Linked DNA regions of Drosophila melanogaster. The protein of the gene in region 1 interacts with the protein of each later gene in a biochemical or structural test. Each region holds a gene or a part of one and is shown in the gene's direction. Other genes may lie near its edges.

Region 1 (16,725 bases):
GCCTATAGATTTACGAGGCTCTTCATATGTATATAAGTCACCTTGTCGGTTTTAATGGTGAAACTTTTTCACTTAACCTTAACTCATGAATTGATTTTGTTTCACTTTTGTTTTTTTTTTTGTGTGACTTTAACGACTTTCCACTTGCAGCTGAAACTTCTTCCTACTGAGTAATGACTTTACATGCGTGTCAAACATGAGCGTATGTATATCCTTGCCATGTCAGGCTAAGCTGGTGTCATAAACTTCTCATAAGTTTGCTGTCTGTCCTGCCGGCTGACTGGTGTATCTGAAAGTCAAGAGTCTTACTGACAAATTATGTAATATGTTGGCTATATTAAAGTTAAACGAAGTTTGCACACAAGGGGGAAATTAACTTTACAAGAGCGATAACTTTGCTGGGCACTTTAAATAACACAATTTTCCTAATGGTTAGGGATATAATAGAGTTCCACAGTTGTTTTTTATCTCAGCTACAATAATTTGCTTGGCTTTAATATAGGTTCACACCTTCTCAAGCTTAAAGATCCTGTCTGCACCACATGTCAATTGAATTTTGGCTCATTAAGCTCGTAAATCATCGAAACACCATTAGAAGCCGTGAATATTAGGTTTCAGCAGCACAATAATCGATATCTTCCATCGGGCAATTAATTACAAGCTCTTTGCCTAATGCAGAATATCCCCATGCCTTTCAATTAAGCTGCGTTTCAAGTGCTCGAGGCCTTCAACGTATCGGGCATAATGAAAAATGAAAATTCGAGTTAAGTAAGTTCTGTTTATTTTGTTCCTTACTCCAGCTTCCTTTTTGGCATACGTCAATAAACAATAACAGCAAGAACATCAATTTGCGTATGCATGTCAGTACAGGATGCAAGGAAAAGAGGAGCCAGGTACTTCAGCAATCATTCATTTTGTTAATGAATGGCCTCAACTTCAGCACATGGAAGGGAAATGGAAAATACGGGAAAATGTAAAACGGGAAAGGCAAATTAAAATGAGTAAGGCGTAAGGATAAAGCAATATTTCATTGTAAAGTGCAAGCCATGATAATAAAGGGCAAAGGAGTTTCTCACTTAAGCCGACTAGAAGTTACCCATTAATTTTTATTTCGTTAGCATTTTTTGTCCCACAATGTCACATAATTAAATCTTCAGCTATGACTAACGAGTGAATTAATTAAATATATAAATTTACTTAATGACTTGATATACCTTGTACAATATCCTTGCAAAGTACCACTTGCTGTAAAGGAAAATGAAAGGAAAATGACAGTACTATATTGCTCATTCGCAGCGTATGACCGTCGGATATTGCATTTCACACACGCACACCCCCAACTTAAGCCGCATTTTTTGTTGCTTGTAGTGGACATCTGGATATTTCCCTGGACACGCGATAAATCTTCTTTGCGCTGATTTCACATGTGCGCGAACCTTTGGGCAAATTTAGATTTATTTCAATGCGTATGCAAATACATTTTGGACCGCCACTGCCGCAAAACTTTTGACATATTTCACTTGGCCGCAAGACAAATGCCTTTTTAATGTCCATAAATTATGCTTTCCCCGTTATCGATGACCACATCCTATTTGAGCAAACAGAGCAGTCCGAAACTTTACCCCAATCTAAGCATAAACATGAAGTTTGAATGGTCCTTCTTTTGTGGTATGAAAACATCTTCATGCATTTTATTTCGGCGAATAGAAGCAGCCTGCACTTTTCCCCATTTGCGGACAGTTTTTATGAGGCTGATCCTTAGACTATGCGAAAGTTTAGTTTACGTTCATAAATCTCCTTGTTTAGCTCCTGTGGAGCAGAGTAAACAATGAAATTAAAAACGTATTTTCTGGTCGGGCACAGTCGGGATTTAGATTCAATTAAACTGTCAACGGGACAGGGTCTTCCATTCACGGCAAACAAGCCGCCCTCCTCCGCTTCCTGCTCACCTGTCGCCATTCACCTGGCAGACAGGACACTTGCCATGTTTGTCATGTTGAGCAGCAGGCATTAAATTCGAATTAGCAGGTGGAACGAGAAACGACTCCCCCATTTTCACTAAGAACTTGGTGAAGAATTGAATTCTAACACCCCACAAGATTTATAGGTATCGATAAATGAGCAAAGGAGAACCTCTCGGCAGATCCAAAAACCACAAAGGTCAACGACTTCGTAGGAGGCCATTGAAGGACAACAAAGTGAAAATTAGGCCGCGAGAATTCTGCAGATGGCGACCGCAATGTCTGTCAAGGGGAAGGACAACCGAGGACAGCGATTTTCAAAGGATCCCAAGTACGAGGGAAGCAGAACTTGAAACATGGACACCTGTGGCTTTCGGTGGGGCAATAAATCAATTTGCTTTGACGTCTTGACATCGTGTCCAATGAAAGGAGGGGGATTGGTAGCAGAGGGTCATATTTGTCCAACCTGACTTTGCCTAGTTCGTGATGTTTGTCCTGGGCTTCTGGGTTTGACTCTCCTCTGTTTGCACAACATTTGCATTGTGACTTGCCATTAACCCCTAAATATTGGGATAGGTTTTCATCTCACTTCCACGCAGTACTATTTTAGAAAGTTCCATCATAAGATGAAAAAGCTATCCCCTTTCAAATCCATAAATAGAACCACTGATATGGAGGCATCGCTTCGGTCAGAAGCTGTCAATTTCAATGAACTTTCTTCTCTTTTTCTTTTCTGTCTGAAAATGTCAGTATCGCCTTTCGGTTTCGGGAAAACCAGAATCAAGGAGACCAAGCCGTTTATCCTGGCCAAAGTCAGACAAAGTTCAGCTGGGAAACTTGGCCCCTGTCTGACCCCTCCTACATTAATAAGGCGCTTTAAAGTCATCCCACTTACTGCGAATTGCGATTTGAATTTGAATTTGAGTCTCCCAGTGGAGAAATCCAATGCCAATGAATGCCAACAGCAGTCAGAATGAAGTACACACCCCGGCATTAGCCGCTCTCGATTTATGACCCCCACTTGACCATCCTGACCAGTCACTCTCCATGTCCACCATGTCCTCCATGTGCTCCTCTGTTCTACATTTCCCCGATTTCCACCGATTTCCCCTTGAAATGTTTGCATTGGCGAGTCCTTCGTCCGCAGCTCGCCAGCTGAATCATCCTCAATCGTCCTCCTCCTGTGCGGCAGTGCATTTTGGACATGTAATGAGCCGCAGCGGGTCTTGAACTTTGAATAGGCCCGCTACATCATCTCTTCCAGTCAATGCAGATTCAGAATTTCTGAACGAGGTCCTGCAATTGACATTTATCGCTGCTGGCTGAGCACCAGACAATGTTGAGGGTTAAGGTAGTCGAAAGGGGTTAAATGGGTGGGCGGACTCTTTCGGGGAACTTAACAACTCATTAACACGCGCAGGACAACAATTGCTGTCACTGCCATTGGCAATTGAAGCGCTTAAACGTTGTAATTCACTTGTATCGCACAATTATTCGCTCATTTGTTGGATAACGAAAACCGGATAAAGGTAAAGGTACGACCCATGTCAGGAAAATGTAATCGGAAAGGGGGGATTGTACTCCATACAATGAGCGAGGCGGTCATAATCCTCCAGGAAAGCCAGATGGATGCTCTATTGTCTTGGCCATCAAAAGAATTCAGATAGGAATATACCAGATTTTTAAAGTCATTAGAAACTGTTTGACCTCTTCTTTAAATAAATTACGCAAATTGGACGTGACACAGATTAAAGCATTGGAAAGATTTAGAAACAATGGGTATCTTAAAGATTTCCCATAAAGTTCTCTTAGACCCTGAAGTCCAAAAATTTCCTGTAAGGTCAGGTCACAATTTCTGTCCCTTGTCATTCTTCTGCCTCCAAAGATCCACATGTGCACTTTGCGTTTGCTCCAGGACAACCCAATCCATCCTGACACGCCTCCAGTTGGGTTCCATCTCAGCATCTCACTCCAACTGGCCATCTCTCATCCGACCTCGACAATTTTTGAATAACTAATGAAGGTGCCAGTTAAACGAGGAACGAGGAGCACCAGCAGGATGGCCACAATAAAACAATAACAGGCAAAACACGAGGAATGCGTCGTCGTTGAGGGTCGAGTGCCTAGAAGTCCTGGCCTGAATATGAAATTCGGATTCCGATTTCATCCGACTGTCGACATTCATCTTGCCAACTGTCTGTCTGGCATTAGGAGTCGAGCGTCCTGTGTCCGCCGTCCAGGACTTATGCATCATTGTCAAAATATTAACAGCTGGCACATTCCCCTTCCCGCCCCTCGTGTGAGCACTTGAGCTCAGATGATGATGAAATATATAAATGGAATTTAAGTTTTTGGGATACATTTTCCCGGCAAACAGACGAATGGGTCAAATCCTTTCTAAATCGGACTCGCTTTCGCCTGAAAAGCATCAAGAAGTTTGCCTTCCTTTAACCTCTGACTCAGTCCAGCATCTGGAGTGCATAAATCTAGTGCCTGAAAAGGATATTTACGCATTTGCATGGGCATGTGTAAAGATGCTTAGCTGAGGGCATAAATAATAAGAGATATTTATAAATCAACACTGGGAGGATTTGTACATAAGAACTCTCTCATATCCAAGGAAACTCATTAGAACAGGAAAAGGGATGGAGGGAAATTGGCACTTCCTACGAAATAGAAACCAAGGATATATACTCTTCTTCTGATTTCTGAAATGATTCGAGTGCAGTGCAGTGGCAAGACTCCATCCGAATATCGATTTCCATCAATGGAGTGCATCAGACAGGAGTTGAGGGGATTTAATGGGTGCCATCGAAAAGGGCACCGAATGACTTTCGTCTGGCTGCTCATGTGGGATGGGGAGTGAGATGGGCATTGCTAAACAAATTTGCACTCGAGTAAATTAAAAACAAACAACAAAATCAAATATTAATGTTCTGTAACGCGTTTCAACGATATTCAATCGGATCAGTAGCAGTATAGAGAGTTGCAAACAGGAAAAAGTGCAGAGCAAACACACCAATTTAGAAAAATTCAGAACTTTGGTTCAGTTTGTTTGTATTTTGTCTGCGCTTGGAAACAACGGCGAAAAAAGTGTCACTTATTCACTCAGTCGCAAATGAAGAAACATTCCCCTCCGAAAAACACCTCCAAATAGAGTTGTCTGCATTTCCATTTCACTGCCATTTCCCCCACAACCTTTTTCATTTCTTTTCATTCTCTTTGCCTCCGACGAGGCTGAAAATAAAACCTTTCTGGCATTCAAATGTTATTTTTAAAATTCTACCCACTTTTCCCTCGGAAAGTTCAAGTCGTGGAAAAGCGTGTGAAATGCGGAAGTATTTGCTGTTTGTTGTCGCAAAATTGTGGGAAGGGAAAACCGCAGCCAGAAAAAACGCCTTCAGACTTTTTTTTCTTTTTTGTTCGAGATTATTTGAGTGCGGATTGAATTGACCCTCGGTTAGGGGTCACATCAGTGTGCTCTTGGTTGACGGAAATCCCTGGAACGTGGGTAAATACCAGTTTCCAGGTTGCAGCTCCTAATTTCATTGTTCATTGATGGGCAGCCTGCACCTGATGAGCTTTGCATTTTCCCCGCAACTCGCATCAAATATATACACTCAGGGATCTGACATAATGCGACGATTTCTGGCGCAGAGGCCTGAATAATAATTTCGATTACGGAATTTGTGGCCGAAATTCGGGCAGCCGCAGATGCAATTAAATGTTAATCGATTGAGTTTGTGTATTGTGGATGGAAGTTCAACAAATGCCACGCCCCCACAACTGCATACTTGAGTGAGATAATCAAAAAGGAACCAGGACATTGACCCTTTGCATGTCCAAAGGGACAAAAGGGTGTTACTGTGTCACAGACGTAATTAATTGTAAATAATTGTGCATGTGTCACTTGCAATTTATTTATTTGCCAAAGACATCCGCAGGCAACAAAAGGATAATGGGAAATAGAGTATAGATTGATCTCTACCGGGGTCAACTTAAAGTTACCCACCTCATTGGCATTCCGAGCACTTACGGAAAAAGGTCAGCATTAGGGTCGTCTTACAGTGACCCTCATCTAGGGTTCCGTTTTGTAATAAAGAACTTATGGATGTCATATTGCGCATACGCCGCGTGTTCCCTGCAATTGTAAATGCCAGATGGGAGATGCGGTCTCAACTTGTTTCCCGATATTTGCATGTCAAACGCGTGCTAATTTCAAATTACTGCGGCACTTCAACTTCTCCCCCTTTTTCGCATCTTACCTTTTTATGCCCCGTCTCCACCAGCTGAAACGCATTATTTATGACTTGTACGCTTTCTGTGTCATTTTATAAACATTTTCCAAACATGTTCGGCGACCTCGGAAAAGTTCTCCTCCACTTCGGAGGCTGCAGCAGCATATAAAATGTATAAAAATAAAAAGCAGGCGACTTTATGTTTTATTTATGAGATACGCACACACAAAAGTTTGCACGGGACTTCACAATGCGTGGCGCCTTTTAATGTGACCAGATCGGGGGAAGTGGAAGTAGGGCGGTCGCAAAATAATGGTACTACAAAATGGTAAGATTAGTTTTATCGATTCTCTGATATGCTGATGCCTCATTATGCCTAAAGTGCCTGCCATATGTTCGTAAAAGGGTCAAAGGTTAAGCACTTGCTCGAGTTTGGACCCCCAAGCAACTTTAGCTTACCGCAAACCACAAATCGCCGTTTAAATATTAATACATCAATCCACTTAATATGCGAGTTTATGCCATCGAATGATGTAATAAATATAAAAGAAGGAGCCGCAGACACTCGGATAAAGATGATGCCCATATGCGGATGCCGTAAATCCTTCCTCGGCTCCATCTGCAATGTCTGTGGGAATGGAAGTCTCTCATCCACTACACTTTATGATGAGTTTTCCCCGGTTGGCTGATGGATTCACAAGTACACACATACTGTAAAGGGACCACAAAGAGCATCTCCATTAAAGTTACAGTCAGACTTCAATGGATTTCATATTTTTTGGGCTTTCCATTCTGGTTCTTTGACTTTTTCATTTATTGCAGCTGGCAAAAGTCAACCGCAATATGCCAGTAAAGCAAACAAGATTGTAATATGCCGAAAACAAAACAAATTCCTGGTATAAGAGCGCACTTCCTGAAATCCAACTTAGCCTTAGCAAGGCTGGCCTTCACTGCGGTGGTCCTGGCATAAAGGAAGTGGGCTCCTTGTTTACTTGAGAACTTATAAAGAAAACATCAACTTGGATTTCCGACACAACTGTGGAGAAGGGAATGGGTACAACAATACCGGGAAAGCAACTACTTCAACAGCATTCTAACCGTCGGAACCAGCGGATATGAAAGCAAAATTTTGCATTAAAACTTAAGAAATCATTGGGCCTTCCTCGTAAGAGGTCCCGAGATAAGAAGGCAAAATAGAATATTTCCCTTGGCTAAAGATTGCGTAAGGTTCTGCCACCATGGTCATTGCGTATTTGTGGGTTCGCTTGTGCGTTATGATTGCACGAGCAAAACCAAATGCAAATTCAGATTCTGTTGTGATGGGCAAAAGGGCGTCCACGAGTTTAGTAACAGTCTTTATCATTATTTGGTAACATAATGTACTAGTCTCTTTAAGTTTCACAGCATAACACAAGTGGTTTGCAGTCCACTGAAAAGAATGTTTCTTTACATACACTTTCATATTTGCTGTTATAAGGAAAGAGTAATTAAATATTTGCAATATGTGTAATACTTTATATAAATTCCCACAACCAAGTGTTATACCCGTATTTTTATGGGTAACAACTTTGCTACCACTTTAAATTTCTTACTTATATTTTATTCCTTTTCTAATCACCTGCTTTACCCATGTTTACCTTTGCCCGGCTAAAAGCGAACCCAATCCCCACATAAATACCCATTCAAGTTCAAGTCAACCCTTAAGGAGGCCTAAAACCGCAGCGTAAACCAAACGAGGGAACAGCATTTGCCGGTTCGCTCGTTGGATTTAATTTTGGCTTACACATTCTTGGCCAATGAGATTTATGCGTTGCTTGCGAGTTGTTGTAACTGCTGTTGTACTTCTTCCGCTCTTTTCACCCACATTTTTGTCCCACAACAGCCCAAGTTGGGGGATATACTGATATAAAAAAAAGGGCGCAAAATGTTGTTTTGATTTGGCTTCCGTTTTCTCCTTGAATTTCTTTCTCAGCAAAAGCCGAGCACGTGTTTCGTTCGAAAAACAACGACGCTTGCGCTGAAAACGTTTTCGAAACTGAACGAAACTTTGGCCGTACTCATACACGAAGTCCAAAGCGAGTGAATACGAATGGAAAACTTCGGTTTTCGGATACCCGAAGCCTTTTTTCCTGCTTTTGCCAATGAAGCGAACCATTGAGCGGCACGATTTGAATTCAGTTTGACTCGAACCTGCTCCGGAAGTAGAAGTCAGCCCGCGAGTTTCCATCGCAAGGGAAAATTCTCAATAAAACACAACAAATTAATCATCTTTTAATCACAGTTAAAAACGAGTTAATTGCAAATTACTCGCTCGTAAAAAGTGCTCATACCTAAACATACAAAGTAAACCACCAAGTGTGTAACAATTAAAATAAATCTTGTGTTAGTGCGGTTGGCCATAAAAATAATTCGTGTCGCAACAGCAGGCGACAATAAATTTTGCGGTTGGATCGTTAAAATTTCGCTTTACCTGAATGCAACTGAAGCCGGAAAATAGCAAATGAGAACGCGGAGTTTTCCCTACCATTAACTTTTTTTTGCAGCAATTTGAATTCGGGGGAAAATTCATTAAAAATACAGCTGAAGCTCAAGACGAGAGACGCTTGCTCACTCAGCCCTGTGCCACATAAATTTCACGGCAATCAGCCGGCGCTGCAAGTCATCCAAACTTCATTTGTTGCTACTTGGGCTCAGGGCTCTCGGTTCTGCTTGGTTCTGTTTTTCCGTTTTTGCTCCTGCAGGATCTGGATCCTGCCCCATGGCTCCTGCAGCTGAAATATTGCTTCCATTATTTATGTTAAGTTTATGCAACATTCTCCCTGCTGCTGCTCCCACCAGCACAAGTCCTGCTGCAGCACAAGTCCTTCCTCTCTTGTTTTTAATATCCTTCAGCTTGTAAAGGAATTACTCCTCAAGCCGGCAACTAAGAGCAAACTCAAGTCTCACGGCATTCGGCTCCTGGTTATCCACCATTTTTATAGTCTGCCTTTATTTTTGGTTCGTCTATTTCCATCATTTGCCTCGTTATTCAAACATCATCATCTTTCTGGTTCAGTGCACTGGGCTCGGGAAAAGTGCGGATAACAAGGAGCGCCATGTTATTGCCATCGAGTGCATTAATAAATCAATTGTTTTTTGCATCTCAAAGAGCTCGCTTTGCTCCAGAGATTGACAGGTCGGAAATCTGAAATGTAATCGCTGCCAGACGAAGCAATTTGCCAAGAAATGAACTCTAATTGGGTTCACTTGGAAAGTTATAAAGGAAAACGGATAAAGGCGGTGAAGAGCTCATAAATTTGCTTGTTAAACACTTGAATACATTAAAGCCCTTGAATCAGACGATCGCAAAAGGTGCGTGGAACAGAACTGTCAGTTGAAGTTGACTTTGAACTTTTAAAACTTTTGAAGAATTCAGTAAAAATCAGCAATATCCGAATATTAATTTAAATGTACAATATAATGCCTCAAGCTAATTTAAAAGTTGGAAAAATTTTAAATGAGCCAAATGCTTTCAACTCAAAAGGCAATCTTAAAATTCGCGGAAACTAACCATAAGCTATTTAGTTACCCAAATGGACCACAGGAAAATGTGTGCTTCTATGTTTTCGCCTCAAGCTCATTAACTGCTCGGAGCTCTCCCTACTAGATTGTTATTTTTCCCTCAGCTCACACAGAAAGGATAATAGGGGGAAAACAGGAACATTTACTAATTAGCACTCCCAGGCTGCACACAATGAATGTAAAATTATCAAATCGTTTTCTGCGCATTTTTTTTTTATTTTTGTTTAGTTTGTTTGTGGTATTAAAAAGGAAATAAAGGAAAAGATTCCTTGGTAGCAAATGTTGTGGGTGGACGAAGTGAAGTATTCATGGCAGCGAAACGAAAACGAATTTCAATGCATTTTTCAGCTGCACTCTATGACATTTTTAAGCGTGCACTTACAAAAATTATTAAAAATATGTTTTTGATAAGAACTTGCCAGAAGATTTTTGCAATTGAAAGCGAAAATATAGTTAAAACCCAAATTAAAGAACTTCAAATTGTTAAATTTAAGAGACATACTTTTTGAAAATTATTTTAAAATATAAATTAATTTTTATTTTATTTTAAATATTTTTTGAATGCCAATTTGGCGGTGTAGTGTATCCACATTCAGGCATCTGCAAACAATTCCATGTGCGCTGGCTGTCAGATCTGCAGGAATTGCTCAGCTGCCTGGCCGACGATTCTCCTGTCGCGGAAAGAGACAGCCTGAATGGGCAGAAAGAGACGGACTAAAGGAGATGACAGCCATGAATGGCATTTCTTCTGCTACCTCCGAGCATAATTTACATTGTATTTCAACTTGAGTGTGCAGTTGAGGCTGTCTTTTATGGTTTGTCTTGGCTCGCTTCGGGCTTTTCGTTTGGATTTTTCCCGCTTTCAGCTTTTATACAGTTCTCTTTGGCGAACGAAAAGTTTCACTTGTCACAGGCTATGGAATTTGCCGAGTAAAAGGCTTTCTTCGCGTTACGCGAGCGGAAACCTTGGTTAGCTACAATTTATACATGTCGAGCTTGTTAAGTTGTGATTGCGCTCTGGCCTAAAAGTGGACTTCTGGCTACGTACTGATTGCATCATAATTACCCAACTGCCTCCGTCCCTGATTTTTGCCCCTAAGTGCTTTTTAACGAGCTCTCTTCGGTTTTGGCTGCTGCTGCTGCTGCTGCTTTTGCTGTTTGTTGTCCGTTTGAAAAAGGTCCGGAAATAGGAGGGCAAAAAATTTCAAACATTTGTTTTACCCCCCGACACAAATGATTTTCTGTCGTAATTTTCCACCAGTGAAACCAGTCATGGTCATTTCCCTTTCAGCCGCTTTTCGAACTCTGTCGTTATAATCTGCTACATGGACCCCATAATTTGTAATTTCAACCTAATTACTTCAAGCCCAGCCGAACGGGGATCGGACCAGCTAAACAATGTTGTCCGTAATAAAATGTCAAAAACCAAAGCAAAACGCCCATTTCGTCTGATTTACACACACACATGAAGACCAGAAGGACACGCCCCCTCACACGCACAGTGCGTATGATTTCGGTTTTTGTGTCCTTTGCTGGTGACATATGTTAATGATCTGGCAGCGATTTCTGGGTCATTTAAATTGATTTTTACGCTTGTCTGTTTATTTTTGTTATTTAATTAAAATGGAAGTGGAAGCAAGTGTGTAATTATTATAATAATAATTGAAATGAATTCTCTAATTATTTGTTGCACTTGTAGTCATTATGTGCCTCCTAAAAATATTAATTATATATTATATTTTACCTTCTAACCTCCAACTAAATGTATTAAATCAATTACAACGAAATATTCGTAAGCATGGCAAAATTAATTTGATTAAAATTCTATAATTCCATTTCAATAGTTTCATAAAAACTTTCAATTTGATTATCAATCATTTAAATGCACAAAAACTCGCACAGTTGTAACTATTTCCGAATAGTTTCACAACATACATATGTACATATGTGTAGCAAAAAATCGAAATTAATAAATGCATGTATATTAATATTTAAATCGTTTGTCAGACAACGAATGAAAAACTACCAAATATCGTAGCAGAAACAGATTTTTATTTTTGGCAGTATCAAATATTTATATATTGAAGCGCCAACTCAGTTGAGTTGAGTAAGTGGATCAACTGAATCTCAGTCGCTGGTGAGAGGGGTGGCCAGAATGGGCAGGAAGTCAGGATGAGTCTGGCAATGCAGTAAGCTGATATGGAATGTTCATTCATATTTCATTTCGCGAAATTGTTCGGGACCAAGTCAGAGGAGTGCAGCTGAATTTTCAGCCTAACCAGTCGGTTGTAACGCATTTCGATGGAAAAGCGAGACACAAACTCTGATGTGTTCATGGGAAACTTTGGCATATCCTGTAAAACTTTAAGCAGAAAATGTGTCAATTTAAATTAAAACTTCTAAAATAACTTATATAAAGTAAATCACATTTATCTCAGTATAACTGAAAACATGTATTGTAAATTTGAGAATTTTTCAAAAATATTTTATATAATTAACATAAGTAACAAGTAATAGTTAACACAACCTTTCCAAGGGAATTTTTCTCCTATGAAAAATGTGTAAAAACGCAACAAAGGCAATTGATGTGCAATGGATATGTCGTCATATAGCCCTGGTAACACCAGTTACACCAGAAATCAGCGGTCACCATGACGTCGACCGTAAAAGTAACTGTTGCAATGACACAGCCGTTACTACCGGCCATCCATCGCCGTAGAACGCATTTCTGGGGCCATAAAATAGTAACATCAATGGAACGCATTCAAACGTGGCACATTCGCGCATGAACCTCGGACTGACCGGAATAAAGTGCTATTAATAATAAATGTTGCATTGGCAGAGGGCGAGAGGTGGCCAAATGAACTTGGCAAACCGAAAGCCGAGAGCCGAAAACAACCAACGGCCAAACAAGCAACCAGTCATAACCCCCTTCATTGCTGGGGGATTTCCCATTTCCCGGTAATGAAATGAAGCAACCTGCATTGCGTACGCCCATTGTTCCCCGACCACTAAAATGGGTATCATGATTGCTATTTGAAATATGCTAAAGTTCCTGGGAATCGCTCGAAAGAATTCCCAGGCTCAGATCTTTTTAATTCTTCGATAAAAAATTAATTACACAGGTCGTGAATTTTCACTTCAATATTTCATATTTAATTTAAGATATAAGCAGTAAGCGTAGAAATGGTATTACAAGCTTTACTAACAATGCATATAAGGGGTTTAAAATGCTTGGTTACTGTTTACAAATTGAATTGATATAATGGTTACAACGAAAGTAATTCCTTTAAAATTCATAATTATTTTTTAAGAAAATATTTTAAATGTAGAAAAAAGAAATTATAGTTCACAAACACAAGTTCCTACTTTAGTTTCCCTGCTTTAGGTAGCAGCAGGGTATTTCTGACGTCGATCATTTCGATCATTTAATTTTGGCTGCGAAAACTTGTTGTCCACATACAACATTGAAAAGCCTGGGCAACAACAGCGAAACGGGGAGAGTGGATTGCCGAATAGCAGGACGACTGGCATAATAATAATAAATGCCATAATCCCCTGGAATCGGCGCTCCTCTGTGGCCATTTTTACCGCCCCCCTTTTTCCGCCTTTCTCCATGTGTGTGTGGGCTGCATTTTTATTATTTCATTTTCATTGTTTCATTTACAGGAAAAACAACAGCCGCGGAAACACAACAATAACAACAGAAACCATGGGCAAATGCCATTCGGCGCGTCAAGTGAATTAAGCGATTTTTAAAGCTTTACGCTAAATGAAATTTGAATTGCCAAAGTGTGCACTTGTGTGTGCAAATTAAATTACGCAAATCAAATAAATGTTTTAACGAAATAAAAATAGGAATCGAAAAAGAATACGGAGTGCAAATAAAAATGCTGTGCAAAAATTAACAACTATAGTGTAAATAATTCAACACATATTTTATAGCACCAGACATAGATAAAATTAAACGCAGAAAAGCAAAAAAAAAAAAAATAATAACGCAACAACGAATACAACAAAATGTTTATTCTAACGGTAGTTAAATTGCTGCTGATAGCATTAAATATATTTCCCAGTCGCTTCACAAATCGACGGATTATGTTCCTCATCTATATGACAAATCTGGTGACGCACGGTAAGCACACCCATAAATTTCATAATTTATTGATTTAGAGTTTAATCAAATGGTTGAGCCAGATGAATAACGCTGAACTTATTCAACACAGGCTTTAAATAAATAACAAAATTTAAGCTTGTTAATGCTGGGATTAGTTTGTTTTCAAACGTTTCACACATTTCACTTTCATTTTATTCAACAGGGATTTAAAGTGATTAATTTCATATTGCCTTTTTAATGCGTATGCACTTTAGCACTTTACGATTTTTCATATATTTTATTTATTTAGTTCCTTTTGGAATACAAAAAAAATCATTTAAAACATTGTGGTTCTTCAAGCCAAATGGGAATATCAAAATCTTGATTTTTCCATACGAAAGCATTTCCTTGGCCATTTTTTCTCTCTCGTTTAATACTCCTTAATAAGCATTTCCATATGCTCGCATTTCCGCCACCGAATACGTGTTGTTCACCGTGTTGAAACTGTCAGATCTGGCCATAATTTAATTAAGAAAATGAGACCTCAAAACGTTGGCAACGCGCTGGTCCTCGCAGAGAGCCCAAAACTCCGGACCGAACGCAGGTGAAAGCCGTGAACCGTGATACAGTTGCAATGCTCCTGCCTACTGGCCCAAAAGGGGCGTGGCAGGAAGTTTGGGGCGCAGGGGGCCGTGCCTCGACTGCATGACGCAGATAACACGGCAACACGGCCCCATCAACTTGGCCAGGAGGTAGACCATGTTTTTATATCCGACACTGGTAGTGTACATGGGCATATTGCAATTCGACAGGGTATTGTATTTTGTAGATACATTCGGGAGATTCTATTCCTTTAAAGATATATTTTGGGCTTACAATACCTCAAGAAATAGCTCATGAATTTTAATATCATAAATTTGTGTGGAATGTGTGTAAATATTATTATTGTTTACCACATTTTCAATGATAGGATGCAAGTCTCTAAGAGTAAACTATTTACAGTTTTCATTTAAAAAACTTTAATTTTTAAAAAGTGCAGGAGTTGCCTAATTTAATCCATTAGTCAGGTATTGCATAGTCGTTGTTCGGAATGCGCTAGTATTTATATTATTTTCACTTTTTGTGCAGCACTTCCGCGGCAAAGACAGCGGCACGAACACGAGCTGAATGCATAGAAAAGGAAAACGGAGACAAAAGTGGCATCAGGCAGCCTCAACAGGCAGCAGCTACGTGCTGCCACTTTGCCCCACCCACCATGCCACTTCCACATTGCACTCCCCGCTCTCCCCCCCCCCCCGGCAGATAAAAAATTGCTTTGTTTAATTATTTCATAATGACGCTGCGGTTGCCGTTGCCACTGTAGCTGCTGTTGATTATATTTGGCCTGTGGGTCAGGGATTTCCGGCAACAGCTGCTATTGCTCCTCCATCAACATTTGCACTTCTTTATTTTTATTACCCGGCGTACTCTGCTGGGCTTTAATGACTTCGTTATGGTTGCCATGGCGAGAAGTGGGGCTTCGAGTTGGTCCTCCCCACAAATTATTCATACGTACTTAAGAATTTTTCGCAAACTATTTTTGGCAAAAAATGTTCTTCTGGAGACTTAAGTAAAAACTTAAAACGAGCTCCGTGCTGAAATATACTAAAGAATAATTTCATATTTAAGGTGTTTATTTTGTTCATCAAACTTTGGCTGTACTTTAAAATATTATAGTTTGAGATAGTATTAATGGAAAATATGATTTCTTAATTGAGACTTATTTTTTTCCATGCTCTTATGTGTAAAGGGATTACTTTTTATATTGATGACGAGCAAATGCTTTATAATTTAATCCAATCAAGCTTGAGTAATTTTACGCGATAAGAATTTTCCAAAGCCTTCAATTACCTCACAGAAATTTCCAGCAATTGTAATTCGAGCATTATTAAAGCCATTACTCAGCTGAGTGAAATTTCCTTGGCCAGGCGCAGAATTAGGTTTCCCAGTTGACTCTTTCTCTCATTAACTAACCCACTTTCGCCGCCACTTTTCACTTGCAGTCATGATGGATGAGCCACGTTTTGCGCAGCCAATACCAAACGTCACCGTTGCTGTGGGTCGAGATGCCAATCTGCCCTGCGTTGTGGAGCATTTGGGTGGCTATAAGGTGAGTAACGTGTAGAAAGTGGCAGAAATTCCGGGAAGGGGAAAGCCCCGGGGAAACTGTCATAAATCGTGCGTAAACTGAGCTCCATGGTCGAGCCTCGGCTCGTTGATGAAGAGGTTTGCCAGCGAGACGGACAGTGTCAAAAATCAATTTCACAAATTGCACAACGACCCAGGCGATTGACTGACCGAATAACTGACTAACAGGCAGGCAGAATGACAGACTTCTCTGGCACTCAATTGGCAGCTAAAGATAAAAACAGACCTATCAAAATATTACCCGAAAATACAATGGACATTCTGTGCTTGCTATCGATGACTTTCTGCTGTCATTAGCAAGTCGAAGTTTTGTTTGCCCGGAGACACAATTTATGAGCTCTGGTCGGCGCTGGATGCATATATGCATCTAATCCACATTAAGCTATGGATACGCTTTGGCCAGGACGAAAGACCTCTGATGCTCTCTCGGACCAAACAAAATGACTAGAAAATCACTTATCATTTATCTCCCTCAGCTGCTGGCACACAGCGAGCTCATAACAAATCACAAATATTTACTCGCCATATCAACTTCATATAAAACACTGTCGCCAGGACCACCGGGGCCTAGCTAGGACACGAGTCCTTGCTCCTTGCCCCTTATTGGACTTTTGTCAACATTGGCCTGGACATGAGGAAAATGGCCGAGGACAGTAAAGCGGGAAACTCATTGCTGTCAGTG
Region 2 (16,841 bases), on another chromosome or scaffold:
TTTTTTTGGTATATTCCTGTAAGCAGGGTTGACTTACGTCAAGTCACAAACATATTTTTCCCCTTTTTCGCGCCTCGTTCCGATTCTCGATAGGGCGCTATCTGCAACAGGTGCATAATTTCGTTTTCGAGAGAGGTAAACTCATTTGCACTTAAAGCCATGGCAACTAGTGTCATTGGTGGCAAAAGAGCTTGCAATCTAAATGTTTATATTACGAACTTGATTCGGGTCAAACTGGCTTAAATCAGCAGCGAAGCCAGGTGAAAATCGTCAGAACGACAGCAGGCAGAAGTCTCGTTACTTCAAAGTTAAACAACAGGAATTCGTGTTGCGCAACTGACGCGGCGCTTTCATCAACTGGAGCCTAACCCGGCGAAATGGCTAATCCGTTTCGCTGGTGTCGAGTGTCGCACGACTGCGTGTTCCAGATTAATGTGGTTCTGGTGGTGGTCGGAGTGATCTTTCTGCTTGACGTGCTCAGCCACCTTTATCTGAAGGCGGTCATGTTTCCAGGCCTTCGTCTATACCCGGTAGCCTTGCGCCCCTGGCTCTTTTGGGTGCGCGCTTTGACAATGGTTGCCTACATTTTGAACGCTGTTCTTGGGATTCACATGGCCCGACAACCCACCGTCTTGAAGTACGCTGGCTATATGCTCGTTGGAAGCGTGGTGTTGCTGTACACAATAAGCATCGGAGTGACTCGCTTCATGTACCGCAAAAGATTCGAGTTCTTTGCCGAGATGCTGGTGCTGCAGATGTGGGTGAGAGATAGACTTGGCAAGGTTGAAGTAGAGTTCGAGTGCTGCGGAAGGTCCAGCGTAGTTGACTACCAGACAGCATCGAGCAACCGCACCTGGCCCATTGGCTCTTGCTGCGGGAAGCAGAACTGCACCGGCTGCACTGCGAAGCTTAGCCAGTACCTGTGGACTATCGAGATGGATGTGGCAAGGGATAATATTATCGTATCCGTTCTCTTGTTTGTGGCGATGATCGTCATGGTTTTACACTTTAAAGATGTGCAATCGCTCGACGACACTAGTGATGTGGATGAGTCTTCAGAACTGGTAGACGACTCGGACGCCAAAGAATAAGCCCCATCCCATCTAGTCGTGCCGGTCCCAATTGCTTTTATATGGTCCCCCTCATTCAAGTACATAAATACTATTTTGAATGTGATATTACCCATGCCTTTAGGGCATATACAGTGTATATTTATTTTTTTGCGACAAAGGTAAATACACTGATTAGATCTGAAGCTATAAATTATGATCCTGAAATCTGAATTTCAGGTCGCCTGACCTAAACCGAAATGAAGGACTCAAGGTAGGTTAGGATGGTATTTTGCAACGCAATGTAAGTATATAGATAACATTTTGGCAGCAATATCGTAACAAAACCCAACATTTTTTCTAAGTTCTCATGAAAGGGCGTAAGAGTGGAGATAGGAAATCGATAGAAAGTGACAGTTCAAAATATTATAAAGAACAAGAGAGAATGCTGTAGTCGAGTTTCCCGACTATCAGTTACGTGTTACTCAGCTGGAAGTGGGAAGGAGAAATTTAAATTTTTTGGATTATCGGTAGAAATAGGGAAAAAATAGTAATAAATAATGAACAAAAATTCAAAATTGGTTTAAAAGTGTGGGCGTTTCAGAAATTTACAAGACTAATATAAATGTGAAAATATTTTTCAAAAGTGTGGGCTTTGCATTTTTGGGCGGTTTGATGATATGTATGCTAAATCTATTTTTATAGTGCCTGAGATCTCGACGTTCATACGGAGTACAATCCGGCGATCGACTCGGCGTTTGATCCTGATAAAGAATATATATACTTTATTCTACCTGTTACATACTTTTCAACGAATCTAGTATACCCTTTATCTCTACGAGTAATGAGTATAAAAATAAAATCGTTTCTCAAAAGTGTGTCCGCGGCAGTTTTGCGTGAAATCGCTAATAGAAGTCTTTATTTAGAGAATTCTAAAAAATTCCTATTTAAGCAAACATTTTGCAAATATATTGTTTGTGGGGGTCTCGTTTTAGGGAAGAACGGGGGTGCAGAGTATCCAATAAAGGACAAAAAAGGTATCCATCCACCTTAGTCCGTCTTAAATTTGTCAGCTATATTCATTTGCTTGGTAATGGTTATCACGGAGAAAGCAAACTTTGCCACCTAGTGATGGGGTAGAAAATGAGATACAATTCGAGGAGCATGTATTACAGTGGCGACCACTTACACTTATGTTGCTGCTCATGGATATCTGAAAGATACCGCCTGCAATGAAAACGATAGGCTGCTGCACGTTTTGGAGAAAATACAGTAGTGTTGTTTTGTAGCGACGACTGGCATCCACCCAGTTGGACTGGAAAATAGCATGGGTCAAGGACTCGCAGTCCTCCATGATGAGGTTGCATGTGTAGCAGAAGGGGAAGGTCTGCAGCAAAATGGTTATAACAAACATAAATGATGCGATGCCCGTCCAGATGTCTGAGAAGAAAAACACGTTGATCAGCGTGAAGCCCAGAACCAGGCCGATCAGCAGAAACTGTGTGAAGATGGTCCCCTGGATTACTGGTTTAATAATCGCGCAGTATCTGCGGGAAACATAATGGTAAGTTGCCCCATCTGCAGCTACACGCTCTTCTTACCTTAGAATGAGCTTGTGGTCCATCACACATTTGACCAGCTCTTCATAGCTCTCGGCCTCGCTCAGGTTCTCATCGGAACGGAGGCGTCGGATGCGCTCCCTTAGCATGTCCAAGTGAGCACGAAGGATGAGGGTATAGATCAATGGGTAAGAGTCCGAGAGTTGATCCTGCAGAACGGCGCCTGACATCACCATGTACTCCAACGTGGAGGCCACCCAGAGCTTGAGTGTGCCGTCATGCCAATCAATAAAGGGATTGTACAGCTGCCAGGGCGGACGCCCGCTGAGAACCGAGCTCAGGTAGGTGGAGCCGGCATATCCGCAGTAGACAAAGGTGAAGATGAGAAAGGCATGGTTGCTGCGGGCCACCACTAGGTGGATCTTTTCGCGCTCCTCCATGGCGGTGCAGCGCAGGTCCAGCTGGTCCAAAATGTTCTTGGCCTTGATAAGGCGCCAGAGCATGGAGTATGTGATTGCAACTTTTACCGATGAGCCGTAGGCATTAATGCACACCTGGAGTGAAGTGAGAAACTCTCCAGGGGAGAAGGACTTGATCTGCGTCATGTAGCTACCAAGGAAGCCAAGCGGCAGGTACGTTGTACACCACACGAACGTCATTAGCGTCCAGGTGAGGTACACATACCGGAGCACACCCTGCTTGGGGGGCAGCCATCCAATAAACTTCATGGCGCGGTAAAGGTAGATGCAACCATCTCGGGACCGCTTCTGCTCCGTGAGCGGAGCGGGACGTATTAGCTCGAAGACCATCTCGGCGTTATTGTGCGCACTGCTCTGGTGGACGGCTTATATAGGCCGGTTCCTTTCGAACTTGTGACATTTTTATAGATGAAGTTTTCAATGAGCTCGAAAAGTTTTCATTAAGTTTATGGCCCTTGCTGTTGTTTAATTATTAACTTGAGAATTTCTCTGCTGCGCTATGTTATGTTTAATTAACCAGTGAAAGCACTTGACTAGAACAAACATTTATTCAGTGTTGTTGCCCGACTTCCGATTTGACGAATTTGAATTTGAAACTGCATCGGTCGTGCTGTACTCGTTTTCACATGCTGGATTTCCAGCATGCATAAAATATGGAAAAGTTTGCGAAAATACCAGACGGGTCCTTAATGGCAATTAAGACGTTCCTCATACGTAGCGTTGGCCGCGCCGCCTTAACTTCGCCTGGGGCCACACTGTTTGCTTGTGATTGCAGCGCGGCAGGAGAAAAACATCAGCTCGAGTTTGGCACGAAGGGTTTCTCAGAAACTTTGTTAGGCCGTCCTGCGCGTGGGAGGAGTGCAAAATGGCCGCTAATCGTCCTCCTAACTAAATTTATTAAATTTTCTCTTGCAGGTCTGTGAGCTTGGGGGCGAGTGTGTGTTGAAAGCTTAGCATAATCATCCTTAAAGAGTAAGCTCGCCCAGATGCTCAGATGCTGTGTGACGTCCCATTGCAGCTTTAATGAAAAATATGTTCGCCGAGTGTTATTAATATTGCTCAGGATGTCTGGCAGTTGACACATGTTTTGTTGTCGCTGTCGCTTTTGTTGAATGTACCTTCAGTGTCTGCCTCAACTTCAGTTTCAGCTTCAGCTTTGGCCGTAGCTACAGCTACAGCTACCAACTTCCCTTGTCCTGCCACGTGTAAGCTGACATTTTTTCATTACTACACATTTCAATAGCAGGGACACCCGTAGCCGCATCAGTCGGCTACGAAGAACTCTGCCGAGCAGCTGTTGCTACTTCCCCTATCGTGTATGAGCACTGTGTCCAAGGAGCACCGGCAAGGCCATGGATAACCTTTTGTTTGCTTCTGCCGAGCTTGCACACTTGAATACGTTTGCTCTCCGGGTCCGTCACTGTCATTTGTGCTTTGGCCCGGCTATTTGGCAAGCTTCCATCTCCCCAGTCCTTTCGAGGTGAACCAGCACAGCCCACACCCGGCACCACCGGCTTATGTGCCAACACATCGCAGCATTTGAATAGAACTGGTTTTCAGAACTCGCCAATGGGGTGCGTGGTAGAAATTTATGTTGTCTCTGGCCAAATCATTTATCCCTTTAATTGCAGCGCTTTGCAGAGCTGAGAGTAGACACAGGAGCCAGTACCAGTGATGCAGGTGCTCGGGCTTGAAGTGGTCGACTAATTGAAGGCGGCGTGTGTCTTTTGGATCGTTTTGGAGCATGCTTTACGGGAGCTCGCTTGATATCCACGCCATCATTTATTATCGCTTGACGTATTTATTTTAATTAACGGAAATTAATGCCATGCTGCGCAGCTGTGCGAATATGTTTGCAGTAGCTTACACACATTTTCGGAGCGCGCTATCGAAGTGAGCTACCACGCCCACTTAACCCACACACACGCAGCCACATGAATGCACACGACGCAGCTTTTTGAGAAGGATGTCAGCCTCCCACATGACAAACTCGCAAAACAGGCAGCCTGTTTTATCGCACCGAGTACGATAACTAAGTGTCAATCTGTTTTTGATTTGTTGCAAATTAGTGGAGCCTTTGCTGAGACCTCAAAATTATTAAACATCCCGGAGCGGTCTAGTCAGAAATCTTGACAGCCGAAGTTGCCACGACTCAAGGCGAACAAACAATACTTGATTTACCGATTCTTGAATAATTATTTGTTAAATTATTTATCGTACTGCCGGAGCTTAGCTTATTTCCAAGCAGTTAGTCATATTGCTGATGTAGATGTGGGTTCTATGCACGCAAATGTTAGGAAGCCGTCCATACAAAACTTGAGATGTATTTCCCCAGAATCTCTAACATATATAAATAATCGCATTTTACTCAGCTGCCCCAAGCCATAACTACGCAGTTTGATGAGTTACTTCTTCCGGTGCCGATTCCGTTATGGAAATTAAATTATGGTCAAAAGAACTGCCCCACAGGCAACAAAAGGAGCAGAGGACCCTGCGCACACATAGACAAACTTGTTGAAACACATGACGGTGAGTGTAGACCAGGGTCGTAAATGCCATTACTATTTTGTAAACATTGCGACAGAGTGAGTGGCCAAAATTGTTAACTTACAAGGTCGTGAAAATCCATAAAAAATGGGAAACATTCGCGTACAAAAAACAATGGCTGCGAAACCAACACACAGACAAGCAAGCGTACAGCCGGGCAAATAAACAAGCTAGACATTCTGTTGCAGCAACATACAAACTTTTAATTAATTTCTGTCTGTGTGACCCGTGAGTATACGGCACATACATCTAACTGATTGCTATGATACTGCCATGAGGGGGTGGCAGTGTTTTGTTTACCCATGTGATTGCGATTGTGCGAATGTGCGGTGGGGGTCCTCTTCGGCACACCCGCACACAAATAAGAGCAACAAGAGCATTTAGCGTCACTTTGGTGGCAAAAATGGCTTGACCCAAATGTAATCAGGTAATTTGTTTCATACAGTAAATATTTACCCTCCTGCCACGCATATTTGAACTTAATAATAATTATTCGCGGGGTGATTGCCCCAACACACATACACTGGGCAAACAAGGACGAAACTGAACACAATGCGCTGCAGTGGCAGGCATTGATTTCCCTGGAAAGCCGTCTGGCTACATACTCCTTAAATATTGCATGCTCAGTCAGCCTAGACATTAACTTGGCCCAGACACGAGTCCCACTCGGGCTGCCTGACAGCCAACTTCGACTGCTTGACAGACAGAAAGTGAAAGTAGTGCAAAAGAGCAACAAACGAAATTGATTTAATAGCCCAACATTACGGCGCTAAATGCATACATGCTGTCCCACCTTCCTACATGTACATGCATATGTATGTATGTACATATGTGTATGTGTTTGGGGGTGTAACTCCAACTTCCAAGCGATTTCATTGATCAACGGTTTCCATGGCTCTGCCGGTTGTGTCAATGAGCTGCAGTTGTTCGGCTTGGATAATTGGAAAATCAGGGAATCAAATTCATCAACTCAATGCTTACGCCAATCAACCAATGGGCTTAACGTTCACTTATGAGTCATCTTCATAAAAGTATCGATCAGAGCTAAAGTAAATAATCGTAACATAAGTGGCTAAGGATTTCCCAAGGCATTTGATGCGATTCCTGCCGATCAAACTTCAGTCTTCCTCCTTACTGTACTTCTCCATTGAAATGCGTAGAATGCAAATACGTAGTAGTAAGGGAAATGTTCATAATACAGTATAAAAGCCCAATGTCCTTTTCAATTGCTTCATCCATCCATTGATAGAAGGCCGTCGTCCATTCTGTATAGCAATCAGTTCTTACCCATTACTCGTAGAGGAAAGGGGTATTTAAGTTTCTGGAGTTGTGTGTACCTGATGGAAGACAACTTGATTCTATATACTTCTATTTCATGGCTAAGAAGACAGATCATGGTCAAAGATGTTTCATCAAGGAGCTGTACAATTAGGATGGCAATAAACATCTACTGTAAATAGACCCCCGACTTCGGAGTCTCCAAATTGAGATTAAAGAGTAGAATAGCTTAAATGAACTCGACAAGAAACCATGCCCATAAATACTTCTATTAACTCCGTGGACCTGAGATAAGTAATATTAGTTGCCAAGTTGTCACTGCCAGTGGATAATTACATATATTTAAAGATGTCTGTTAGATGGAGGAAAGCAAGTATCGGTAATTTAATTGATTTATCCTGTGTATTAAATAAAATTTTTAGTAAACATTTATTAAGGAATTTATCCAAGATTCGGTAGAACCCGAGCAATACATTGAGACGGTAATAAATAAAAGAATTATTTATACTTTATACTTTTTATAATTCCGACGACGCAATAAGGAACTTTAAGCCACACAAAAATTTTATTTTGTAGGCGGTCTTAATTCCGTCAGCATTCTCGATTCCGTAAATCTTTTGCAAGTGAGTCTTACCACTGGTGGTGTTGGTTCCAAAAGCTATTTATCCCCTCTACCCCCAACAACCCCCTCAAAAGTTCTCCCTTGACGAGCAAATCTTTATAACAATTAGTTCACACCAACTTTGCAAACGTCCATTATCTAGACCAATCAAAAGGTAACGTGTGTCCATTGTTCAAAACTGCACGCTTAGGTGTCCCACACGTAACTTGCTTCCGACTGTCGCTTACCCAAGCCTTTCAGAACTTATGCCCCATTTTAGCATTTACAATCCCCACCCATGGCAATGCCAAAATTGTATTAAAATTACAAAATCAATCCTTAGCAAACAAAAAAAATATATAAAAAATAAAATTTAATTTATATACGACAATATATAATACAAAATGTTAAACTTCAAATCATACATACACTCAGCTGCTATTGCTCATTCATATTGTTAGCTTTTAATTTGCACTAAGCATTTAGCAATAAATAAGTAAATAAAAAAATATTTATAAGATGTAAATATTTGAATATTTATTATTTATTTATTTATTGGCTGAGTCGCGGCCCTCGACAAAGGCACTTCTTGTTGTCACTTGCTCCTTTGGTCGCCAAAAAGCAGGCTTATATTTCATACGAGCTGAAACTGAAAGGAAAAAGTGCAATCGTTGATAATAAACATTACGTTCCAGGTGTCGACAGAAGCAGCACAGTAGGCTGGCGGGGAAAGGTGCGACCAAAGGTGAGCGGAGTCATACTGAATGAACCAAGCATATTGATCATTGACTGAACGGCCGGCGAACATGCGAATCAACCACAAACCCAGAGCCAGATGTCGGCTGTTGTCGGTTGTGTGAGTGCAGTGCAGTTATTTTAGTGAGTGGTGGCAATAATTCAATTCGGTACATTTTAAGCCCGAAAGGCGTACGGCAGCGCGCAGACACGTGCAGGGCGACTCCGCTGCCTAATTAAGGGTACTAGGACTCGAACGACCGCCAATCGATGCAGCTTATACAATTTGCGATCGCACTCCATTCCCAAAACGTTTTCAATCGCCACAGCTTCCTTTGTGCGTCCAGGACGCGCGTCCGGCCAACCGGCGCTCTTCCGCTCCTCCGCCATTCCGCCCTCAAGTCCGCCGCGCGCCAAGGAGGAGCTCATGCAAAAGCAATTTCCTGAACTTTTACCCGACCGCTGATGCAGGCACACAGACTCACAGACACACACGCATCCTCTGGCAGATTAAGACGGCGACCCAACTCGAAACGCATTGGCCGACTCGTGGATGCCACAGCACTTGAAAACCAATACGAATGCGATTATGCCCCTGCAAGAGTGAGTGTGCGTGAGCTGGCGCTCTCGCCCGCACACAGCCACTCCAGCGTGGAAATGGCGGGCTGTAAGTAAGAAATCATTAAGGTTGGTCGGCACACTAATGGAATACGACAAGCGGCATGTGGGAACACACTCTTGCACTTGTCCTGCATCCTGGTGGCCACCGATAGCTGTCGTTGTAGTTGTCAGTTGGCCGGGGGATTTGCTCCACGTTCGGTTTTGGTCACCGCAAAAGTTTAGTTGCAAGTTGCGGCTCCGCTTGCGGCGGTCATCCGTCCGTCGGGCGTGCGTGCCATCTGACTGCCAGTTGCATTAGGATATCAATTTGCGGGACACTGATTCGCCAGTTTACTTGCGAAGTGTGGGTGCCAAAAGAGGTCCGGCTGTTGGGGTCCTTCAGCAGCCAAACGCTCCGGCACGTGACATTGGCAAAGTGAGTTCCGTTCGCAAATGTGACACAATTTGGTCATCTTGGGACCAAGGAATTCAGAGTCTCCGCGAAGACCCCTAAGAGAGAGCGCGAGAGCGAGCGCGGAAAGGACTCTCTTAGGTTACCAGAGCCCTGGAAGCCATGGAATTCAGGTGTAGCGTATGGACTCATCGGGCCAAGTCGGGGACCGAAGGCCATGCGCTGATTCGTGTCGCTGACCTAAAAGCTTGAAGAAGCTTCCGCTCAGCTTTCGCTCAGCTGAGCCAGGCGCAGGCGCAGACGCTCCCTTCCAGTGGCGAGCGGTTTCCGAATGCGTAGGAGTCCTGGTAGTCCTGTCAGTTCACTTCGTTTGCTCGTCGAAAGCTGTGCATGCTGCGGAAGCGACGGCATCGCTCGTTACCCCATTAGCAACAACAACACATCGAGCATTGACATACCATTCAACACAGCAACAACAAGGCCGTACTGAGTGCCGGACTGAGGCTGAGGTTGGATTTGAAGTTGGGGGCTTCCGGCGGCAAAAGTGCGTTTAAAATTACCAAAGTTGTCCCAATTAAAGGGTGCAGCGCGACTAACAAGTTCAAGTTGGATGTTTCGCCGCGCGAGCGACGTATTATCCCTGCGAACTCCTTTGTGCTCGCGGAAACTGGTGCGTGGCGGGCGTAAAATTCGCCAGTGACTCCGCGTTAAGTCAACTGTTCCTGCGAACTACTGCGAGTGCGAGGGCACGTTGCAGCCAACGGTGGCAAAAAGTAAAAGCGGAAACGTAAACCGAAACCGAAACGCCTGAGCGCCAGAGGTATTGAGAATCCGGGAAATCGAGAACAGGCATCGGTAGTGACAACTGTGAAATGTGCGGCTGCATTGTCGTTTTGCCACCACTTTGACCCAAATCGCATTGAATTCGCGTTGTGCCGGAGTGCGGGCTCTGCGGACGCCTAATGGCTTAGTGCGAGCAGTGCATGATCAATAAGCACCAATCGAAGCTCGCGAGTGCCCCACAGCTAGACATAAGAAAACGAGATCCACCAGCAATTGGAATCCTCTGAAGCATCGGTTCCGGGATCAGCCGTACTTGGTAAGTGATTCACAGCTAGTTGGCCGTTTCTCGCTTGTGAGTATGACATGTGGTTGACGGGAGGCTTGGGACTTGTCATCTTCCGCCGCTTCCTTCTGACTTACTCCAGACACGAGTTAGCTTATTTACGTGGGACTTGTAAGTTTGGGCTTTGGTTTATAGCCTGTGGCAAGAACTAACTTGACTGCTGTCAAACATACGACACGAACGTGTCTTGCAAAACACAACACCTCTAACTCATTAAGGGAGGTAAATGCCTAACTGCGTTGGTTATCAACCAAGAAAAGTTTAAATGAAATTAGGATTCGGCTGCACAAAGTCCGCAAGAGGAGGCTTGCAAAGTGGCCACATCTAGGATTCTGCTTAATTCATAGTAGAGAGTATTTTTCAGTGATTATTTTAGATGACTATATCAATGCGGTTTGCTTTCAGTTTTATAGTCAGAGAGTTCACTTAGAAAGGGATACATAAAGCTTATGTATGGTCCAGAACATAACTAATTTAGTCTTGTTTGGGAACACAGAAAGAAGCTGTCAAAACATCAAAAGCACTTGCAACATCGAAGATAAATTGATAGATAGATTAAAACTACTTAGTTTACTGAACAAAGTCCTTCACAACTATATTATCAACCCCCTAAGGTCGATGGGACTACGATATAGCCGGACTGGAGTTGGAAAAACTGCCGAAGCTTATTCATACACGCAGTGGCTCATGCAAATGGGAGATCGGGAATCCGACGGCTTTCTTGTGAAATAACAAAATGAAAGCGCAAGCTAAATATTTGCTAACAAAGTCCTTGGATACGGGCGCTAATGGCGAAGCTTGTTTTTGTGTATGTGACGGAGCCCCCAGCGATAAGGCACGGGGTCTTGTTTTCGTGGGGTTGGCTGGGCGATTAAGTCTGCGTTAGCCGAGACGTCAGAGGAGCGGCCACGCAGAAAGCAATTAAATGTATTTCCGCTCCAATGTCAAAATTAATGCGCGTTTCATATTTAAAAGCGTGAATGCACGTACACACGAGCATGTAGAGAAAGGTCATCGGGACGACAGGATGTGTGCGCGCGGAAGTCCTATGTCAATGCTGGACTGTCACCGGACAAGTGGGTCGAACGAAGCAGGAGCATTTTATCACCTCGGGGACTCACAGGCATGTCCGTAGCCGGACAGCTGTGGGCAAGTGGGGCACGCCCCGTTGCTATCGCCCTGCCCTGCCGGTGAAGCCGGAACCAATGGGGCGGCCCAGTTTTATGACTTGTAGTTCGACACCTCGTGTGCTGGCTAATGAGCGTGGAAGACTTGCGTAATGTGTGTTTATCATCCGCCCCGAGGCCGGCCGACTTTTTTGGTCATGGAACCGCAAATACTCGAATGTATTTAAATTGCAACTCTACTAAAAGGCGATTTGATTTGATTTGATTTTCTGCTGTGCTGTGTGCACGTGTGTGCCTGTGTGCCTGCCAGTGTGTGTCGTATATATGTAGTTCGGCAAGGTTTTTGCTCAACTCTTCCCATAGCAATCTATGCAAAATATTCACAGCCATAAGAGAAAAGTCAAATAAAAAACAACCAATATTTAAATAACGGATTACAAGCCAGTCGGCCAAAGAAGCCGGAGCTGATGCTGCTGCCACAGCAAAAACATAAATGGGAACAAGCGCCGTTGGAGGGCATGTAAGTTTCCCATTTAGTTATGAGGCCCGCTTTTTGGCCAAATGCCTGAACGAGTCGCTGGATCAGTGCGTAGACTGGCTGGCAGCCTGCTGGTGCCTTCTCAACGTTCCTGCTTCATTTCACTTCATTGTGTCTCCGGCGAGAGTCTTTGTTTTTATTCTGTTTTTTAAATCTTGTCATTCCTAGGAGTCCGTTTATTGCACGATGACATCATCTTAGGACGCGTCCTCCGGGGCATTTCACCCGATATTCAAATGCAAAGCTACCTCCCTACCAGGCATAACTACCAGTATTCAACGTACTTAATTGTATAAATTCTATTCCAAACGAACGGTTAAGTATAATTTAAGACGCCGCTGGCCGTTCGATTGCCATTCTGTCCGGGATGAAGCTGTACAATCCGGGCACTGCCAACTTTTAATTTTAATTTATTTTTGTGACTCTTGGTCCGAGCTGACCGGCTTATCTTTCTGCCATTGTGTTCAACCCGCATTGTGCAACCCTTTGCAGATATATATCGGCTGGCATCTTTTAGTGCTTTCCGTTTGATTGCAACTTGCAATCCGAGATTTTGGCAAAGTCCATCGGGCTCCAAGCGCAAAAGCCTGCCAAAGGAGAGAGAAGTGAGTGGATGCTATTAGGGGATAAAAATGGACCAGGCTTTGGGAAAATAAAGTCAATCAAATAGTGTCTTAATTGTTAAAGGGCCGTGAAGGGTTTTATGCCGGAGAATTGGATTTATTCCCAATGCAAACATAAACAATGGGCTGCAAGATGTCGAGCAGCCAATTCAAATTAGATCCCCTGCCTAAAGCTTCACAAATTAAGCCCTTAATAAGGACTTTGCATAATCAAGCCAAAGACGTTCGTGGGCCGGGCCACGCGAATTGATGACTGGAAAATTACCCGAGCAGTTTGGCTGGCAACCAATCCTGATTGATAGCCGGAGCCCACCCTCTTCACAAGTGCTGTCCAGGTATAAGTCGAGTGTTGCTCAGCTGAGCTCTGAATTATTCAGGAAATTGGCTAATTATCGAAAAAGCTTCGGATTCATGTCCCCTGTCCTGGGATTTGAGCTCCTGTGCCACATGTGCCGTTCAAACTACAAACATTCTATTAGCACTGAATGAATTATTAATAACTGTGTCAGCCGCCTGCTAATGAGATGTTGTGTGCGCTACCGTCTTCAGGGTGTGGTGTAACTTTCCCACCCACATGTAATGGCAAGGACAACTCAACTGGACACTTAAATTTTTGGCAGTGTTTGCTTAGGTCTAAGCAGAAAATCATTAGTTGAAATGCGCAAATATCTCTAAGGTTTTTATTAGCTGAGCGGCAAGTAATTGCCCACAATTAGGCCTTAATAGTACGACCATAGAGAGGCGCTACATACACTGTGCAAAGAGAGCTAATCAGGACCGTGCCAGGATACCGGCCTCGCGTATCCCTGGGGGACGAAGCTGAGCTGAAGCTGAGCGTGAATACGTTTCGGTTGCTCGTTAAGTAAGAATTACTCTGTGTGCTTGGCATGTGGAAAAGAGCTCTTTTGTTTTTTCGGGGAGCACTTCCTGCTGTCTCTTTTCGCATTACTTAGTGTTTTTATTGAAGCAATTCTGTCAGGGCAGAAAACAACAGGCTGACACTGAAAAGTTGTTATTTTCCCCAGTCATTCGGCTTAGGGCTAGCTTCCCATTTGTTCCCACCCCTTCCCCTTCACTTTCTTCTCGACACCACCCACGTCCAGCCAAATATTATTACAATTATACATTGTATTGTTTTTATTTATTCTTCCGTCATCCCCAATTATTTTCTGCGTTGTCTTCTTTCACTTGCTTGAGCTCTTCGGTTTATGGCTGTCCTTCCCCCGACACAAGTATTCCGAGTCAAATAAGCTTAAAGTTGGAAATTCGCTTACGATTCTGGTTTCTAAACAACAAAATCTAGTCATAGCTACTTATATATGTACATACATATAATATTAAAGAGATATTTTAAAATCGCTATTTTACCGTACTAGAATTTGACGCAGACAATATTATGGGATAATAAAGTTATTTAAGGTGTTTTAAAATCCTTTGAATTGCATATCAACCTTGAATCAACAGATTCAAGCCATGAACACAAAAAAAAAAACAAGCAATTTTCGTTGTAAGACTTATTCTTGGATATTTAAAAAACGAGTGGTATGATTTCATTTAAAATTGAAATTTAAAAATTCCATTAAAACTAGGATTTAAAAGTAATTAAGAAATAAGAACAGAAACTTTCCAACTAACAATTTTCATGAATACATTTAGTGTGATCGTCGTATCCACACGCTTTTTATGGCCAATTAAAGGCTTGTGTTGTTTTCTGGCCTAATTTCTTCAAGTGGTAGTATTAGTAATTATCTTAAACAATCAGTGCACAATAAAAATTCTCTTAAAAATTTTTCGATATCAGACAGGAACTCCTCTTGAGGGGGCAAAAAACCAAGTTACCCTTAACATACCAGTGTTTTGCTATTAGCATTCACAAAAAATGATTTTGCACTTGATTTTACTATACTAAAGCTTCAAAAGAAAATAGCCTGGTAACGATTTAATGTGTTAAATGAAACAGTGATAAGCATACGTTATCAATTTAATCCTTAATGATATGTATATATAGATTTATTCTCACATTACTAGTGCGTCTTCAAAAATTTCAGACAACCATTTTGTTCATGAGTAGCTAAAGCGACAGACAATCAAACAAATAACATACGCCGTTATTGTGAAAATACCTTTGAATACCTTTTGAATACCTTTGAATATCTTTTTAGCGGAGCATTGGGTTATAATGGCGGATATATAGAGCTAGAGTGCAATAACAGCAGATCTAGAATTATGCTCCACTGGTCCTGAAATAATCCAATAAGCGAACTAAAAGGAAGGAGTGCGAAATATACATCCCAACGGCTCGAGTTCCGCGACTATCCGATACCCGCTACTCAGCTAGTACAAGTGGGACCGAGAATGTTCAACACTTTTCAGGAATATCGAAAGAAATCGGAAAAAAATGTATTTTAATGTGCAGTTTTGTGCGGTTTCTGGGCGTTAGAGTGGACGTGGCAGCATGGGTCATGCCAAAGACCCTAGAATATTCTAGTGTCTTTGGTCATGCGCTGTGTTTTTGTCTCTAGAATCTGTGTGCTGAATCTCAACCTTCTTGCCTTTAAAGGTTCCTGAGATCTCAACGTTCATACGGCAGACGGACATGGTTAGATCGACTCGGCTATTGATCTTGATCAAGAATATATATACTTTATATATACTTCGTTCTGCCTGTTACATACTTTTCAATGAATCTAGTATACCCTTTTACTTTTTTCCAAAAGAAACGCTTCTCCCTGTTAAATACTTTTCAACGAATCTAGTATATCCTTTTACTCTACGACTAACGGGTATAAAAACCTGTAACAAATATGAAAGTTTTATGATAAAAATCATCGAAGCTATGATTTAATTTAAAATATTTAAAATAATTTTCCGATTGTTCCTAATTAATACCGACATTTTATATTGTCAAAAAATATTGTGTGCTTGAGAAAGTTGTGAAACCAACTTTCACAGCGTTAGCGTCTTTCGAATTTACAAGCTTTATATAAGTATATATCTGATACCGTTTACTAATTAAAATAAATATGCCTTCAGGTGACAGTGTACATTATACACATAGGTAATGTACAATACTATACATGTGCATGTACTGTACATGTACGACACTAAGCTGTTATGGTTTCAAGCCGAACCCTCTAAAATATTAATCAGCTTTTGGGAAAGTAAAATGAATACAACTTTGAAAACGACAAAATGAAAATTTGGGCGTGCCATTCATTTTCTGTTTGTTGGCGTTCGAGTGGGCGTGCCCGCCCAAGTATTGACAGAGGAACAAGCTGTAACGAGTATATAAATGTAAAACACAATCCAAATGCGCGCACTATAAGGACCACCGTTCCTTTGTCATGTCCTTTGTCATGTGCCTCGCGCTGTAACTCGTTAGAGGGTTCAAGGTCCTTGTGCCGTGCTAAGATCAAGTTGTGTCTTCTCGGCACACAAATGCATGCAAATGCCAGCCATAATAAAAACAATGCCCGGGCGAAGTGAGCACACGACATCAAGATTTAAAAATGTGTCCCAGCCTCTAAGCAAAAGGGTCTTGGAAGATGCGCAAATGAAATGTGTCCCTGGCTGTGAGTCTGTAACTAGGAGAAGGACGAGGCACTTGTGTTGGCTCTGCGCACTTGGCCCATAGTGAGGGGCGGTAGCCGAAACGGCAGTTGCCTCCAAGTCGCGTTCATTCAACAATTTAGCAGCGAAAGTATTCTCAAGTGAAGTTACGGAAATAAACAGTCTGGGTCGCACTGACTGCAGAACGTCCTGCGCCGAGAAAATGACATCAGAGGGGCAAAGGAACACTAAAAGCGAGCGGAGTCATTCGGTGTTATGTGATAAGCCTCCGATGCTCCGATATGGGTGCGTTCGAAACTTCCGCTGCGCCCCATCAAATGTGGCCGTCATGTCGTTTTCCATGCTGCAGGATGTAATGCGAGCTTATTACCATAAAAGCATTGCCTTCCGCGCTCATACATTCCTCCGCCTGTGTTTTTGGCCGAGAGGATGTGGGCCCTTTGCCAGTGGAAAAGACAACTTATAGATGTGTTCAATTTTAGTAATAGCTCTTTTGGGCCTTCGGGCGGGTCTGAAAGACACTGCTCTGCCCAAAAGTTTTTAACTGCTTCCCGTTAGATCTTAGGAAGTAGTGTGATGGCCAGCCTGTCTACCGAT

The links.
Region 2: the proteins of DIP-delta (region 1) and dpr12 form a complex in vitro, tested with the Drosophila melanogaster proteins (one study listed by BioGRID).

The regions. Positions count from the first base shown.
Region 1 is NT_037436.4:5,415,734-5,432,458, forward strand, and holds the start of DIP-delta (Dpr-interacting protein delta), read left to right. Parts: upstream 1-8,375; 5' UTR 8,376-8,542; intron 8,543-13,429; 5' UTR 13,430-13,780; coding exon 13,781-13,895; intron 13,896-15,898; coding exon 15,899-16,005; intron 16,006-16,725.
Region 2 is NT_033778.4:5,795,096-5,811,936, forward strand, and holds the start of dpr12 (defective proboscis extension response 12), read left to right. Parts: upstream 1-9,616; 5' UTR 9,617-10,359; intron 10,360-16,841. Other genes in the region: Tsp42A (tetraspanin 42A), read left to right, coding at 378-1,091; Or42b (odorant receptor 42b), read right to left, coding at 2,100-2,174, 2,239-2,596, 2,651-3,417.